Linked DNA regions of Oryctolagus cuniculus. The protein of the gene in region 1 purifies or fractionates together with the protein of each later gene. This does not show direct contact. Links are inferred from orthologs where the notes say so. Each region holds a gene or a part of one and is shown on either strand. Other genes may lie near its edges.

The links.
Region 2: the proteins of MAP1LC3A (region 1) and CLTCL1 purify together in Homo sapiens (affinity purification with mass spectrometry; 3 studies listed by BioGRID and IntAct, with this or other methods). This does not show direct contact. The link is inferred for Oryctolagus cuniculus from reciprocal best matches to the Homo sapiens genes MAP1LC3A and CLTCL1.
Region 3: the proteins of MAP1LC3A (region 1) and CLTC purify together in Homo sapiens (affinity purification with mass spectrometry; 3 studies listed by BioGRID and IntAct, with this or other methods). This does not show direct contact. The link is inferred for Oryctolagus cuniculus from reciprocal best matches to the Homo sapiens genes MAP1LC3A and CLTC.

What each region holds. Positions count from the first base shown.
Region 1 is NC_091442.1:23,538,217-23,542,746, reverse strand, and holds MAP1LC3A (microtubule-associated proteins 1A/1B light chain 3A), read left to right. Parts: upstream 1-1,427; 5' UTR 1,428-3,016; coding exon 3,017-3,056; intron 3,057-3,367; coding exon 3,368-3,423; intron 3,424-3,500; coding exon 3,501-3,607; intron 3,608-3,823; coding exon 3,824-3,986; 3' UTR 3,987-3,993; exon of another isoform or gene 3,994-4,249; 3' UTR 4,250-4,407; downstream 4,408-4,530. UniProt on the Homo sapiens protein: Ubiquitin-like modifier involved in formation of autophagosomal vacuoles (autophagosomes). While LC3s are involved in elongation of the phagophore membrane, the GABARAP/GATE-16 subfamily is essential for a later stage in autophagosome maturation.
Region 2 is NC_091452.1:27,070,796-27,075,129, reverse strand, and holds the start of CLTCL1 (clathrin heavy chain 2), read left to right. Parts: upstream 1-1,282; 5' UTR 1,283-1,391; coding exon 1,392-1,433; intron 1,434-4,334. UniProt on the Homo sapiens protein: Clathrin is the major protein of the polyhedral coat of coated pits and vesicles. Two different adapter protein complexes link the clathrin lattice either to the plasma membrane or to the trans-Golgi network.
Region 3 is NC_091448.1:34,909,933-34,914,515, forward strand, and holds the start of CLTC (clathrin heavy chain 1), read left to right. Parts: upstream 1-1,531; 5' UTR 1,532-2,003; coding exon 2,004-2,045; intron 2,046-4,583. UniProt on the Homo sapiens protein: Clathrin is the major protein of the polyhedral coat of coated pits and vesicles. Two different adapter protein complexes link the clathrin lattice either to the plasma membrane or to the trans-Golgi network.

The DNA of each region.
Region 1 (4,530 bases):
TTGTTTTGATCTAAATATTTTTTTACTTCTAAATGATTTCACCTTTAGAGTTACAAGGAGGTTTAAGTTTCCAAACATTTGGAGTGTCTTTGGCTCTTGCCTGTGGTCGAAGAATACGGCCTGTGTGAGATTCACTATTTGCTATCCGTTAATGAGATTTGTTTTGGTCACTTTTTGTAGATGTCTCTTATATGATTCAAAGAACCATGCTGCGATAAAGGTCCTTTCAGCATCTCTGACCAGCATTAGTCATTGTATTAATATCTTCTAAATCCTTTGGGCGTTCAGTTTATTGGTTACTGTAAGAGGTATTTAAAGATTTATTTATTTATTTGAAAGTCAGAGTTACACATCTTCCATTTGCTGGTTCACTCCACAAATGGCTGCAATGGCAGGGCCTGGGCCAGGCTGAAGCCAGGAGCCAGGACCTCCTTCAAGGTCTCCCACATGGGTGCAGGGGTCCCAGGTCATTAGCAGGGAGCTGGATAGGAAGTAGAGCAGCCAGGACTCAAGCTGTGCCCATACAGTATGCCTGGGCTGCAGGCAGTGGCTTAACCCACAATGCCACAGTGCCAGCCCCGTGAAAGAGGTCTTAAAACTCTGCCTACAGGGGCCAGTGTGTGTCATAGCAGGTTAAGCCACCACCACCTACAACACCAGCATCCCACAGAGGTACTGGTTGTTGTCCCAGCTGCTCCATTTCCAATCCGTTTCCCTGCTAATGTGCCTGAAAAAGCAGCAAAAGATGGCTCAAGTGCTTGGCTCCTGCACCCTCATGGGAGACCCAGAAGAAGCTCCTGGCTTCAGCCCAGCCTAGCCCCAGCCACTGCAGCCACTGGGGGAGTGAATCAACAGATGGAAGATCTCTCTCCTATAACTCTGCCTTTCAAATAAACAAATCGCAAAACAACTCCCACTGCAATGGCAGAATTGGCAGTTCCTCCTATTAGTCTGTCATTTTTTTAAAAAAATATTTTATTTATTTATTTATTTTAGAGGTAGAGATTCAGACATTGAGAGGGAGAGACAGAGAGAAAGGTCTTCCATCTGCTGGTTCACTCACTCCCCCAGTGGGTGCAACAGTCAGGAGCCAGGACCTTCATCCAGGTCTCCCACTTGGGTGCAGGGGCCCAAGCACTTGGGCCATTTCTACTGCTTTCCCAAGCTTACTAGCAGGGAGCTGGACTGGAAGTGGGGCAGCCAGGACCTGACCAGGTGTCCATATAGAAAGCCAGCACCGCAGGCCAGGGCTTTACCCACTGTGCCACAACATGGACCCCCCATCTCCCAAACTCTTGAAATCACAGCTTATCAGTATTTTTCCTTTAGAGGTTAGAAGGTACTATTACATCTTTCTCAACTTTGTACACTTAGTGCCGAGAAGTTGGCTGTTGGCATAACGTTTTAAAGTGAATCCATCCTGGCCGGCGCCGCGGCTCACTAGGCTAATCCTCCACCTGCGGCGCCGGAACACCGGGTTCTAGTCCCGGTCGGGGCGCCGGATTCTGTCCCGGTTGCCCCTCTTCCAGGCCAGTTCTCTGCTGTGGCCAGGGAGTGCAGTGGAGGATGGCCCAAGTGCTTGGGCCCTGCACCCCATGGGAGACCAGGAGAAGCACCTGGCTCCTGCCTTCGGTGCCACGGTGGCCATTGGAGGGTGAACCAACGGCAAAGGAAAATCTTTCTCTCTGTCTCTCTCACTGTCCACTCTGCCTGTCAAAAAATAAAGAAAGAAGTGAATCCATCCTTTTGTGGTAGCTTTTAAGATCCAGCTTTTGGAGTTCTGAAATTCACTGCAAAGCTGTCTCGGTGCTGACTTTTTAGCTCGGCTTGCTCCAGGGTAGTCCCCCCCTCCCCCCCGATTTATTTATTTATTTGAAAGGCGGAGAGAAGAGGAGAGGGAGGGAAAAGAGAGGGGAGAGAGGGGAAGAGAAAAAGAAAGAAAAGTCTTCCATCCGCTGGTTCACTCCCCAGATGGCTGCAACGGCCAGAGCTGTGCCTATCTGAAGCCAGGAGCCAGGAGCTTCTTCCGGGTCTCCCACGTGGGTGCAGGGGCCCAAGGACTTGGGCCATCTTCCACTGCTTTCCCAGGCCATAGCAGAGAGCTGGATCAGAAGAGCAGCAGCCGGGACATGAACCAGGGCCCATATGGGATGGCGGCACTGCAGGAGGCAGCTTTATGCGCTGGCCCCCGGTCCAGGTTTTCCGTGGGAGCCGTGGTCTTGAGCAGCGTAGGGGGACCCGCCCCTGCTCTCCGCTGCCCTGCTCGGCCGGACCTCGGGTGCTCCCTGCCCCTCTGCCACGGGCCCCCGCTGTCCTCCACCACGGCCTCTGGGTGTTCTGGGCCCCCTCCAGCTCCGCGATGTTCTCTTCTGCTGTCTAACCTGCTTCCTTACCTCATCGTCTGAGGCCTGCGTTTGCACGGCTCGGTTTTTGAACTCTAGAATCCTTCCTCAGACCCAGGCATTGCTCCCCGGCGCCGTGCTTTCCTGGCGTTTAACCGCCCCGTCCCCTGAGCCTGGCTGTTCTCCTACCCCAGGCCTCCCGCGGGCCCCGCAGCGCCGAGGGGACGGGCCGTCCAGGGCGCGAGATGCGGGCGAGGCCGCGCCTTCCCTCAGCCGCCTCACTCCCACCTCGGTCTAAACCGGAGAGGAGCCGCGCGGGCCGTGATGTCACCGAACTGTGACGCGCCCCAGCGCACACAGACCCCAGCCCCTCCGCGTCTCTGCAGAGAATCCAGGCCCGCGGCGCCGTGACGTCATGGTCTGGGCGGGCGGCTTTTGCGTCGGGCCAATGGGAGCGACGCGCCGGCCTCCCCTTTAAGGAATGTTGTGACCTGACGTCACCGGAGCGAGTTACCTCCCGCCGCCGCTGCCGCCGCGTTCAGCGCGAGCCCCGGAGCCCTTGAGCGCGAGGCGCGGAGTCCCCGGAGACCCCGGATCACAGTCCCCGGATCACAGTCCCTTCCTCGAGCCGCGCGCCCCGGAGTCCCGGCTGCGCGCCCCACCGGGCCCGCGCGATGCCCTCAGACAGGCCTTTCAAGCAGCGGCGAAGCTTTGGTGAGGCCTGGCGGGCGATCCGGGGACAGGGGGTGGGAGATCCCTGGGGGGCAACCGACCCCCCAGTGCCGCAGGTGACGTCAGCCCCATGACGTCAGGCTCCGGCCTACCGGGTCTGTGAGGCCGCTCTGGCCTGGGCTGGGGCTACCCGCCTCCCCACCGTGTCCCCAGTCTGGGGCCGAGAGGCCGGACGGCTGGGGGCGGGGGCGGGGCGGGGCCGGGAGCCGCCCCTCGGAGACCGGCGGGCGGAGCCGCAGGGAGGACCTCAGGCCGGCCGGTCTCACCGCCCCGCCGCTGTCCGCTGTCCGCAGCCGACCGTTGTAAGGAGGTGCAGCAGATTCGTGACCAGCACCCCAGCAAGATCCCGGTGAGTCCCTCGGCCCCGGCCCGGCCCGGCCCCGCCCCCAGCCCTGGCTCATTTGTGGTCCACCTGCCCGCTCCCAGGTGATCATCGAGCGCTACAAGGGTGAGAAGCAGCTGCCAGTCCTGGACAAAACCAAGTTCCTGGTCCCGGATCACGTCAACATGAGCGAACTGGTTAAAATCATCCGGTGCGCAGGCAGCAGCTGCCCGAGGGGCTTGGGTCGGGTCTCCTGGAGGAGTGGAGTGAGGTCAGGGGCGTAGGCCTGGCCTTGGGCCTGCGTGCTGGGGAGCTGGGAAAAGCCAAGGCCCGAGCTTGAGTCCTTGTGGGGTGGGAGGTGAGGGCCTCTGGCAGGGAGCAGGGCCACCCTCCCTCACCACGGGTTTGCCCTTCCTGCCTGCCCCAGGCGCCGCCTGCAGCTGAACCCCACGCAGGCCTTCTTCCTGCTGGTGAACCAGCACAGCATGGTGAGCGTGTCCACGCCCATCGCCGACATCTACGAGCAGGAGAAAGACGAGGATGGCTTCCTCTACATGGTCTACGCCTCCCAGGAAACCTTCGGCTTCTGAGCCAGCAGTAGGGGGGAATTGGCCTGGGAGTGGGGGACCTGGTCAAGCTCTCCCCAGGGAGCGCCTGGCTCCTGAACTGAGCTGCCCCTGGTGGGCTGGGCAGGCATGTGGGCCCCTAGCCAGAGGGGCCCAAACAGCCCCCTCTGCTCCTCAGTGGATCTTGGGCCAGTCACATTAGGGTTGCCCCTCTGGGTGCTGGTTGGGATGGGGAGGGTGGAGAGCTGCCCCCAGCACCCCTGCTCTGTGTGGTTTGTTTTTTTTAGGCCCCTGCCTGTCTGCCCCTCATCCTCCTGAGGCTCTGTCCCCTGCCTGGACCTGTCCACCCCTGAAAGACTGGCCCCTGGCTCCCCCACCTCCACACGTGTATGGATCTGTGGTCACTGTCCCTCTGCAGAATAAAGATTGCTCAGGCCTGCCTGGCCCTCTGCCTCCAGCTGCTTCTTGGGGCGGGGGGGGGGGGCGGGGGGGGGGCTGCTGGTGCTGTCCTACAGCATGCTAGCCTGCCAGCACAGGCTGTAGACTCAGGGTGCATTCTGAGAACCCA
Region 2 (4,334 bases), on another chromosome or scaffold:
GCTGGGACTGCTGATGTGACTGTCACAGCTCCAAAGCATTCTCCCCAGAGGCCCGCCGACTTCCAAGTGGAGCCACCCTGCTCCGTCCGTAGTTAGCAGGAGCTCCCGAGAGCCGGGCACTTAGGGGACAGCCGGTGACCTGGCTGCTTTGTTAGCGGAAGGGGCATTCCTGCAGCTTCTGTCCAGCACGGCCCCGGCTTCCCCTGGCCCCTGCCCTCCACAGCCCCTGGGTGCTCACTGAGGGATTAACAATAGCAGCAGCAGCCAGAGGACGCCTCGACCATGGTGGTGGTGGGGGGCGGGGGGCTGCTAGGCTGTCCGTTCTGTCCCCTCTCGGGCTTATCAGTGGTCCACAAGCAATGCTTGTGCTGGAATGGGCTTGGGCGGAAGTCATGGGCCACCGATGTCACAAGCTGATTAAAGCCACCAGGGGTCACGCCCCAGGGGGCACACTCAGACTTTTCCCTGCTCCCTCTCCGTTATGACACTGCAGAGCACCTACGGGCTGCAGGCTGAGAGATCCCCACGTGGCCCGCAGCCGGTGAGGGTGACGGGGACAGGTGCTGCCCAGCCCAGTGCACACAGGGGGTGCCCCGTCTGGGCCCAGCAGCCCCATCCCAGAGGCAGCGCCTGGCTGAGTGTGGAGCACATCCCAGTGGCTGTCCACTTCAGTGTCCTCAGCCTTGAAAACCGGAAGGAGAGGACTAGGGGCGGATGTCCCATGCTGATGGTGTTGCATGACAATCTGAAATCTGAGGCTCTGAGACACTCTCAAGGTTCCCCTGTACGCTTCTGTCAACAACAACAAACGGCCCTGGCTGGCGCACGGAACAACCAGGCTCTGGGGAAGGGGATCCCGGCGCCCGGCCAGCACACACCTGCCCATGGCACCGCCGAGGACACATCCTCGCTTGCCTATGTGCACTTGTCCGGGTCGGACCCCGGACTCAATTCACCTTGCACGGCCCCCGGACACTCTCGGAACCGAGTTCACTCTCCCACGCACGCACACCTGCTCTGGAGGGGCCGGCCCAGGGGGTCCCAGTCCACTTTCCCGCGCACTCCCTCGAAGCCAAGGCCACCTTGGCGCGCAACTGCCCCGGGCACCCAGCCGGCCACAGCGCCAACGCTCTCCAGGCCCGGGACGAGGAGGAGGGTGCGGGCGGCGCCGGCCAGAGCAGCGGCGCCCCGGACTACTTTTCGCGGACCCTCCGGACGGGCGGAGGGATCCTCATAGGGCGCGCGCGGAGGGATCCGCATAGGGCGCGCGCTCGGGGGGCGCGGTGCCGGCGACCCGGGACAGTGCGCCTGCGCCGCCGCCGCCGCCACCGCCGCCGCCGCCGGTCTGTCCGCGCGAGGGGAGCCGCCACCGCCTCGGCCCGGCGCCCACCATGGCGCAGATCCTCCCCATCCGCTTCCAGGAGCACTTCCAGGTGAGGTCGGGCCCCGACGCCGCGGCCGGGCGGGCTCCGGGGGGTGGGTCGCGCGCTGGGTCCTGTCAGCCGCGCCCCCCGGCCGGCCGGCCGGCTGACCGCCCGGGGGGCAGGCCTCTGGTCTCACGGCCCCGCGCCCCTCGCCCTGCGGTGCCGCTGGCCCCCCGCCGCAAGCCGCGGGCGGACACCTGGGTCGGGGTCCGGCTCGGGAGCCGCGCGTGCGGACGCTTTCGGGGCGCTGTCGCTCGGCGGCTCGGCGGGGGGCGCCCGGCGTCCGGAGCGCTGGGAGAGCTCGGGGGTGGGCACCGCACCGCACGCCTTGGAAACTCCGAGTCCAGCTTCCATTCTCTTCTCTGTGTCTTGCGACCCTCACCGCTGAGTTTCCGTCTGTGGATCTGTCCCGGTCCCCCCTGGTGGCTGGTGGGGCAAGACAGTCAAATCCGTCTCGGATGCGTAGGATCGGCGTTTGTTATTGCCTGTCAGTTAGCATCCCTGGTATCCAAGTACAGGTGCTTTCGTTAGGACCCTCGAGTATGGCACCTGCTAACACACCGGTGCTGTAACACCCGCGAGGTTTTGCTCTGCCGTGAGGTCCCCATTTGCTCTGCCCAGCAGATTCGTGCTGGAAGGGGGGTGGTTCAGGAAGGTGGGCGCACCTGTGAAAAGGTGTCCGCTTACAGGGGGAGGGGTTGAGGCTGCCGAGGCCCTAGCTGAGGGCTACGTGCTAAGTGCTTCCTTTGAAATCATCACAGTCCCCTAGGGTACTGGATGAGGAAGCGCCGGGGGCACCAATGTTCATTCAGCAAACCGAGAGCGGGATTCAGACTTCAGACTTCGGGCTTCTTGGCTACACAGCTGTGGCAGCTGCCAGGAATGGGGTTGATGGAGAGGTGGTACTTGGGAGTTTCAGGGGGACCGGTCCGGCCCCCTCTGTCTGTGCCTTGGAAGGGATGCCCGGATGATCCTGCCCAGATCAGTTGGGGAGTCAGCCGGTTGAGGTCGCACAGGGTGGGGGTGGAAGCCTTGAACCTCCATCTCTCTCCCTAAGCTGGGGCAGCGCCAGTCAGGCGAGGTAGCAGAGTACCTGTTGATAAAACGAGGGTACTTCGGAGAGTTCATTGGCAGTGGCATTACAAGAAGTTTGGGGCGGGCATTTAGCCCTGCAGCTGAGAAGCGCGCATCACGGATCTAGACGATGTGGGTTTGGCTCCGGCTCCCCGCTCCCGGCTCTCGCCTCCCGCCTCCCGGGAATGCATCCCCAGGGGGCAGCAGTGACGCCCCAAGTAATGGAGCTCCTGCCACCCAGGAGGGAGTCTTGCATTGAGTTCCTGGTTTCCATCTTTGGCCCCAGGCAGCCTGGACCATTGTGGGCATTTGGGGAGTGAACCAGTGGATGGGAGTTTTTTTCTCTCTGTCTCTTTCGAGAACCTAAAAAAGAAAAAAAAAATTTTTTTAAAGAGGTGAGTTTATTTTGACACAAGAAAAGGCTTTGAAATCCATGCAGTTTTTTTTTTGTACTATATATTTTTACTGAACTTTTTGTTGCATGGGTTTCAAATTTTTTTTTTTATCAAAATAAGCTTCCCTTTTTATTCTGTTTTCCACAAACTTTTTGAAGTCCCCTCATACTTACCATTTATTGGGCCATTTGTCTTTTTAAAATGTGTGTGTGTGTGTATTTATTTATTTATTTGAAAGAGTTACAGAGAAAGAGAGGTTTTCCGTCTGCTGGTTTACCCCTCCAGTGGCGGCAGTGGTCTGCTGGGGCTGGGCCAGACTGGAGCCTGGAGCCAGGAGCCAGGAGCTTCTCCTGGGTCTCCCACATGGGTGCAGGGGCCCAAGGGCTTGGACCATCCTCTGCTTTCCCAGCACATTAGCGTGGAGCTGGATCAGAAGTGGAACAGCCAGGACTCGAGCTTGATGTCCATATGGGATGCTGATGTCTCAGCCAGCAACCTTACCTACTATGCCAAACCCAGCCCCAAGAGAGAGAAGTCGGCCGGCGCCGCGGCTCACTAGGCTAATCCTCCGCCTAGCGGCGCCGGCACACCGGGTTCTAGTCCCGGTTGGGGCGCCGGATTCTGTCCCGGTTGCCCCTCTTCCAGGCCAGCTCTCTGCTGTGGCCAGGGGGTGCAGTGGAGGATGGCCCAGGTGCTTGGGCCCTGCACCCCATAGGAGACCAGGAGAAGCACCTGGCTCCTGGCTCCTGCCATCGGATCAGCGCGGTGCGCCGGCCGCAGCGCGCCGGCTGCGGCGGCCATTGGAGGGTGAACCAACGGCAAAGGAAGACCTTTCTCTCTGTCTCTCTCTCTCTCACTGTCCACTCTGCCTGTCAAAAAAAAAAAAAAGAGAGAGAGAAGTCTTCCATGTGCTGGTTCACTCCCCGTTTGTCCACAATGGCCGGAGCTGTGCCTATCCAAACTCAGGAGCCAGGAGCTTCTTTCAGGTCTCCCACACAGGTGCAGGGGCCCAAGGACTTTAGCAGGGAGCTGAATTGGAAGTGGAGCAGCTGGGTCTTGGGATGCCATCACTGCAGGCAACGGCTTTACCTGCCAAGCCCCAGGCCCAGCCCCAAGAATGGGGCCTTCTTAACCCCCAGGCTCAGTGTCTGACTTGAGCCCTTTCTTTTGGACTGGATATATTAGAGATCTCTTTTCACTGAATCTTCCTAGGAACTGATGATAATCTCGTTTTTACCATAGTTGACTCAGGTGATTTCAGAGTCAGTGACAGCTCAGATCCCACCCAAGTCTCTGCTTCCATAGCCTGAACTTAACCTGCCGATCAAATGTGCTGTTTTCTTTAAAGACAAGAAAGCAATCAGCTGTTTTAAATGTCTGTCCACGGTGTCTTGAAGGGCTGTGTTCTGTCTCTCCTTTTTTTTTTTTTTTAAGATTTTAT
Region 3 (4,583 bases), on another chromosome or scaffold:
TGGCCCATTCATAATATAGCTCTTGTATCTCAGACTGAGATTGAAAATGTAACCTGATTAAGCATCTGCAGTACTGTAATAAAACAATAACTCCTTTAGAATTTTTTAGAATTTGTCTCTTTCCAAAAAGGGTTTGAAGCAGCTACAATGAGACTGCTATTCAAATGCTGCAGAATCAAGTATCTGGCTTAATACAAGAGGAAAATTTTCAAGCATAGGAAGCCCCTCTTACAACATGGTGGCAAAGGCTTATTCTTTGCAGAACGATTTCTGGCTGCCCTGTTACCTGCCAGATTCTAGCCTCAGCATGGGAGGCAGTATTTTGGGAAAAGCACGAAAGCAACTGAAATGATTAAGCACATTTCTCACTCTAGGCAAAAACTGCTTCACACACAAAAAATTCCGCACCCGATAGGGCTGTGTGTTCCTTAATCGAAAAGGGCACAACAAATAATTATCGTGGACTTGAGTATTTTTCTCAAGGTCTTTCTGAGGGGGGAAAAATCGCATCTCTTTAAAGATGGAAAGCACGGGACTAAACTCTTCTTTATTGTACTGGGGCTGAACTGTTGCAGCTTAGACTTCGGTTGTCAGTCGATAATGAATGCCGCAGATACCTTAAAGCTGTCAGAAGACACGGTGCTCGGGCTTCCAAGCGCTCCTGTCCCCCTCTGCTAACCTGCCAGGCAAGGGCGAGGCGATCGCTCCGAGAGACGCGGCTAACACTTAATCCTCGTCCTCCGGGGAGGACCTTCAGGTTTTACCGACCACTCGGGGCGGAATTAGCTAAATCTTTGAGACGAAGTATTTGCCGTGGCTACAATGTCCTGCTCCAGTTCTGCTCGAACCCTTCAGGGTTATGTATGAGAACGCAAATTCTCTAGCACCACATACACGGAGTAGTAAGCTAGGCCGATCCGAGTCCGCCAAAATGTCCGCAGAAGTGGCGAGAACAGGCGAGCCTGAGGCATCTCACACTCGGCCCTCACTGTCCTTGGGCCTAAGGAACACCTGACGCGAGCGCCGCTTCCAGTCAGGAGTGCGCGCCTCGGGGTCGCCCCCCGTCAGCAGGCAGCGCGCAAGGGCGGCGAGGGCTTCCGACGCGGCCTCTGCGCCCCCTCCCCGGGCGGGGAGCAGCCGCCCACCGCCTCAAGGCGGGCGGGGGAGGCGGGCTGCAGCCAGCTGCCGGCGAGCGCAGCGGCGGCGCCGTTTCGCCGAGTCACCGGGCGGGCGGGCGGCTGGTCCCGTGTGCCCACGCCACGTCCTCTCCGCCAGGGACGCGGTCCAAACAGGGGACGCAGGGGCAAAGAAACGGCAGCCGCCGCGCCTCAAGGTGGCCCAACGGGCACCTCACTCCCAGGAGACGCCGCATTCTCCTAGAACTTGCGCCCCATTCTGGCAGCGTCAGCCGACCCTTCCCTACCAGCATCACGTGCACCTGGAAGTACGTGGGTGGGACCCAAAGCGCCTACGGAAATGACGTAGGTCGCCCCGAGTCGCATGATGTGGCAAAATGCAAAAAAAAAAAAAAAGGAAGGGGGGGAGGGAAAAGCAGAAGCCTGGAGAAAGTGATGAGTCTAGAAAAGTAGTCCCTGCTGTTCCTCTATTTCCCCGGTGTCGCATCAGGAAGCGAGGCCCCCAGCGCACTGCGCCCCGAATCCCTGCGCCTGGCCGCGGCGCGGCGCTCCGTGGAGGGGTACATAAGGCGGAGGGGGGGTGAGGCGACGGGGCGGAGTTTTGTCGCCGGGATCCTTCCGCAGGGCTCAGCCGTTTCCGGAGTCTGCGCTGCGCCCGGTTCCGCCATTGCGGCTCTCCTGGCCCCTGGAGCCTCCGCCCCCGACCCGAGCTCTCTCGTCTGCCTGCCAGTTTCCTGCGTCCCCGGAGAGTATCCTGCCGAGCCCAGCCTCCCCCCTCCCCTTCTCCTCCTCTCCCTTCGGAGAGCCCGGGCAGCCACTGCCCCGAAGCCCCAGTGACAGGAGGAGACTCTACCCCCCGACAGCGCCATGGCCCAGATTCTTCCAATTCGTTTTCAGGAGCATCTCCAGGTGCGGCTAGATCTGGGCTGCTGCGGGCTGTGGTGACGGTGGTAGGAAGGAAGAAGCTACGGTCTGGGCCGGAGCAGGAAGGGAGGGGTGTCGGTGTTTGGCGTAGGTGGAGGAAGGGGCGCTATCTTGGAAAGCTTAAAGGGTTAAAGGATATGGGGCTTGGGTGGAAAGGACGAGAGTTGGGGTGTAAAGGCCGGCAAGCCAGGCCTGACTCTGAGGGCCTTTCTGTCTTGCTTCCTGGAAGGCAAGAACTGCGCGTGTTATCCCCCCTCCCCTTCCCGTTTTATTCAGTTCATTCATTTGGATAGGGGAGTGGGAGAGGGGAATTCTCCCGAGTTTCTTCCGGCCGGAGCAAGCATTCTCATCATCCCCTGGGCCAGTGCAGGGCTGTCACCCTCCACTGCCCATCTCTTCCCTTTCCCCCCATCGTGTCTGCACCCGGGAGTTGCGGGGCGGGTGAGTTGGGGAGGAGCAACCTTTTTTTCTTCCTCCCTCTGCGGCTCTCAACTGAGAAAGGCACCTTTCCGGGGGCGGGGGGTGGGGGTGGCGGCCGTGGCTTGTCCCTTGCCTTCCCCGAGGCAGTAGGAACAGAAGGTCACTGAAGGAATAGAATGGGGGGACGCAGTTTTCAGGGCGCGGTCAGTCTTAGAGTGCGTGGGGTCAAGGTCCCTGGGGAACTCGCTTGGTTTTCCTTTCTTGATTTCTTTGGGGGTGGTGTGGCTCTTAAATCCTTTTGAGTTCAGAACGTAGCAAAGTGTTACCTAGAGGTTATCTGGGGGGGGGGGGGTCCTCAGGAGTCCATCCGGTGGTTGTGAAATGTGTGGCTTGAGTGCCTCCGACAGGATCGCATGGAATGGAACAGAGGCCCGGGGTTAAGGACACACCTGCCCTGAGTTGGTCTGTAACTCGTTTCTTCTTGGTAGATTCTAGAGTTCTTCCGTAAGTGCCTTACCCTGGAGGCAACATTCTTACGGTTGTCTCTTTGGGCAGCTTGCCAATGGCTAGCCTAGGCAGGTGATCATTGAAGGGCTTCGCTGAATTAGGCCTCTTTTTGAGCTTCTGATGTCCCTGGTTCACCAATCCTGGATTCTCATCAGGAATAATAAATTAACTTGGTTTCTTCCCGTATGTCCCCTTAAAGAAGCCTGCCCCAGGGCCATCTACGGCAGGACTCACTTCCTAATCCGAGGATGCAGTGGTTTAAAATGAGACTGGTTCTGGTAACCTATGGGATACTTTTCCACGCAAGGAAGTTTTATGTACTTTCCCCCATTGGTGTAACAAAAGAAAGAGTCTTGTCAATAGAACAGTTAATATTCAGGCTACGAGTAAAATAATTACATATTTCTTTACAGGCATCACATTTGCTTGCACTAGCAAGACATTATTTTCCTTTAAGGTTTGAAATGTAAAGAATGCTAAATCTTTAACCCATTAAGTAAGTTAAGTAGTACAGCTTTGTTCAGTCACCCAAAACTCATGTAAAGTAATGGAATATACCTTGGCTATAAAAACAGTTTTATGAAAGGTTAACACATGTTAGGTGTGACAGAACGGGCTTGGAAAAAGTTATTTTTTGTGCTCCATCCAAGTTTAATTACTGTGATTACCTCTGTTAAAAAAGGGGTGGTAAATGAGTGTGGAGGATTAGGAAAGTACTGTTCTTGCATGAGAAGGGGAAACCCAGGCTCTTCCTCGCACTAAAGTACATCTGAAATATCTTTCTGCAGACAAATGTTTGTAATGATAACCCAAGAGAAGCTGGTGTGGCTGCTGTTTATTTTACATGGCACAGCTATAGCCCACTGGTAAATCTTGCTGACCAGTGGTGGTTTGAGTAATCACTTTTCATTTCCATTAAAGAGGAGAGGATTGTTGAGTGATCCTCAAAATTGAATCCAACTGTGTCATTGATTGAAGACAGATTTGATACAGGTGTGGTTTTGAGGTTCTGTTAATACTTGAGTGAAGCCATTTTCTTAATAATTTGAAGATTTTAAGTACAAAGCAGCTTAAGAAGTATAATTGAAAAATTCTATTACTCATTTTTTTGGAGTTCTGTATCATGCTCAAACTTAAGCTTAGCTAATATGACTGTAGACTCCAGTTGATAGTGATTAATTGCACAGAGTTCAAATTACTAAATTTTAATAATATAGCTCTTCATATTTTTATTCCTTCCCTTTTTAAAATAAGGGCTATTTTTTGATTTTTTATTTGAAAGGCAGATTTTCAGAGAGAGCTTTCATCCGCTGGTTCACACCCCAAATGGCCACAAATGCCAAAGTTGTCAGAAGCCGGTTTTTTTTTTTTCTTTTTGACAGGCAGAGTGGACAGTGAGAGAGACAGAGAGAAAGGTCTTCCTTTTTGCCGTTGGTTCACCCCACAGTGGCCGCTGCGACTGGCGTGCTGCAACCTGCGTGTTGTGCTGATCCAAAGCCAGGAGCTTCTCCTGGTCTCCCATGCGGGTGCAGGGCCCAAGCACTTGGGCCATCCTCCACTGCACTCCTGGGCCACAGCAGAGAGCTGGACTGGAAG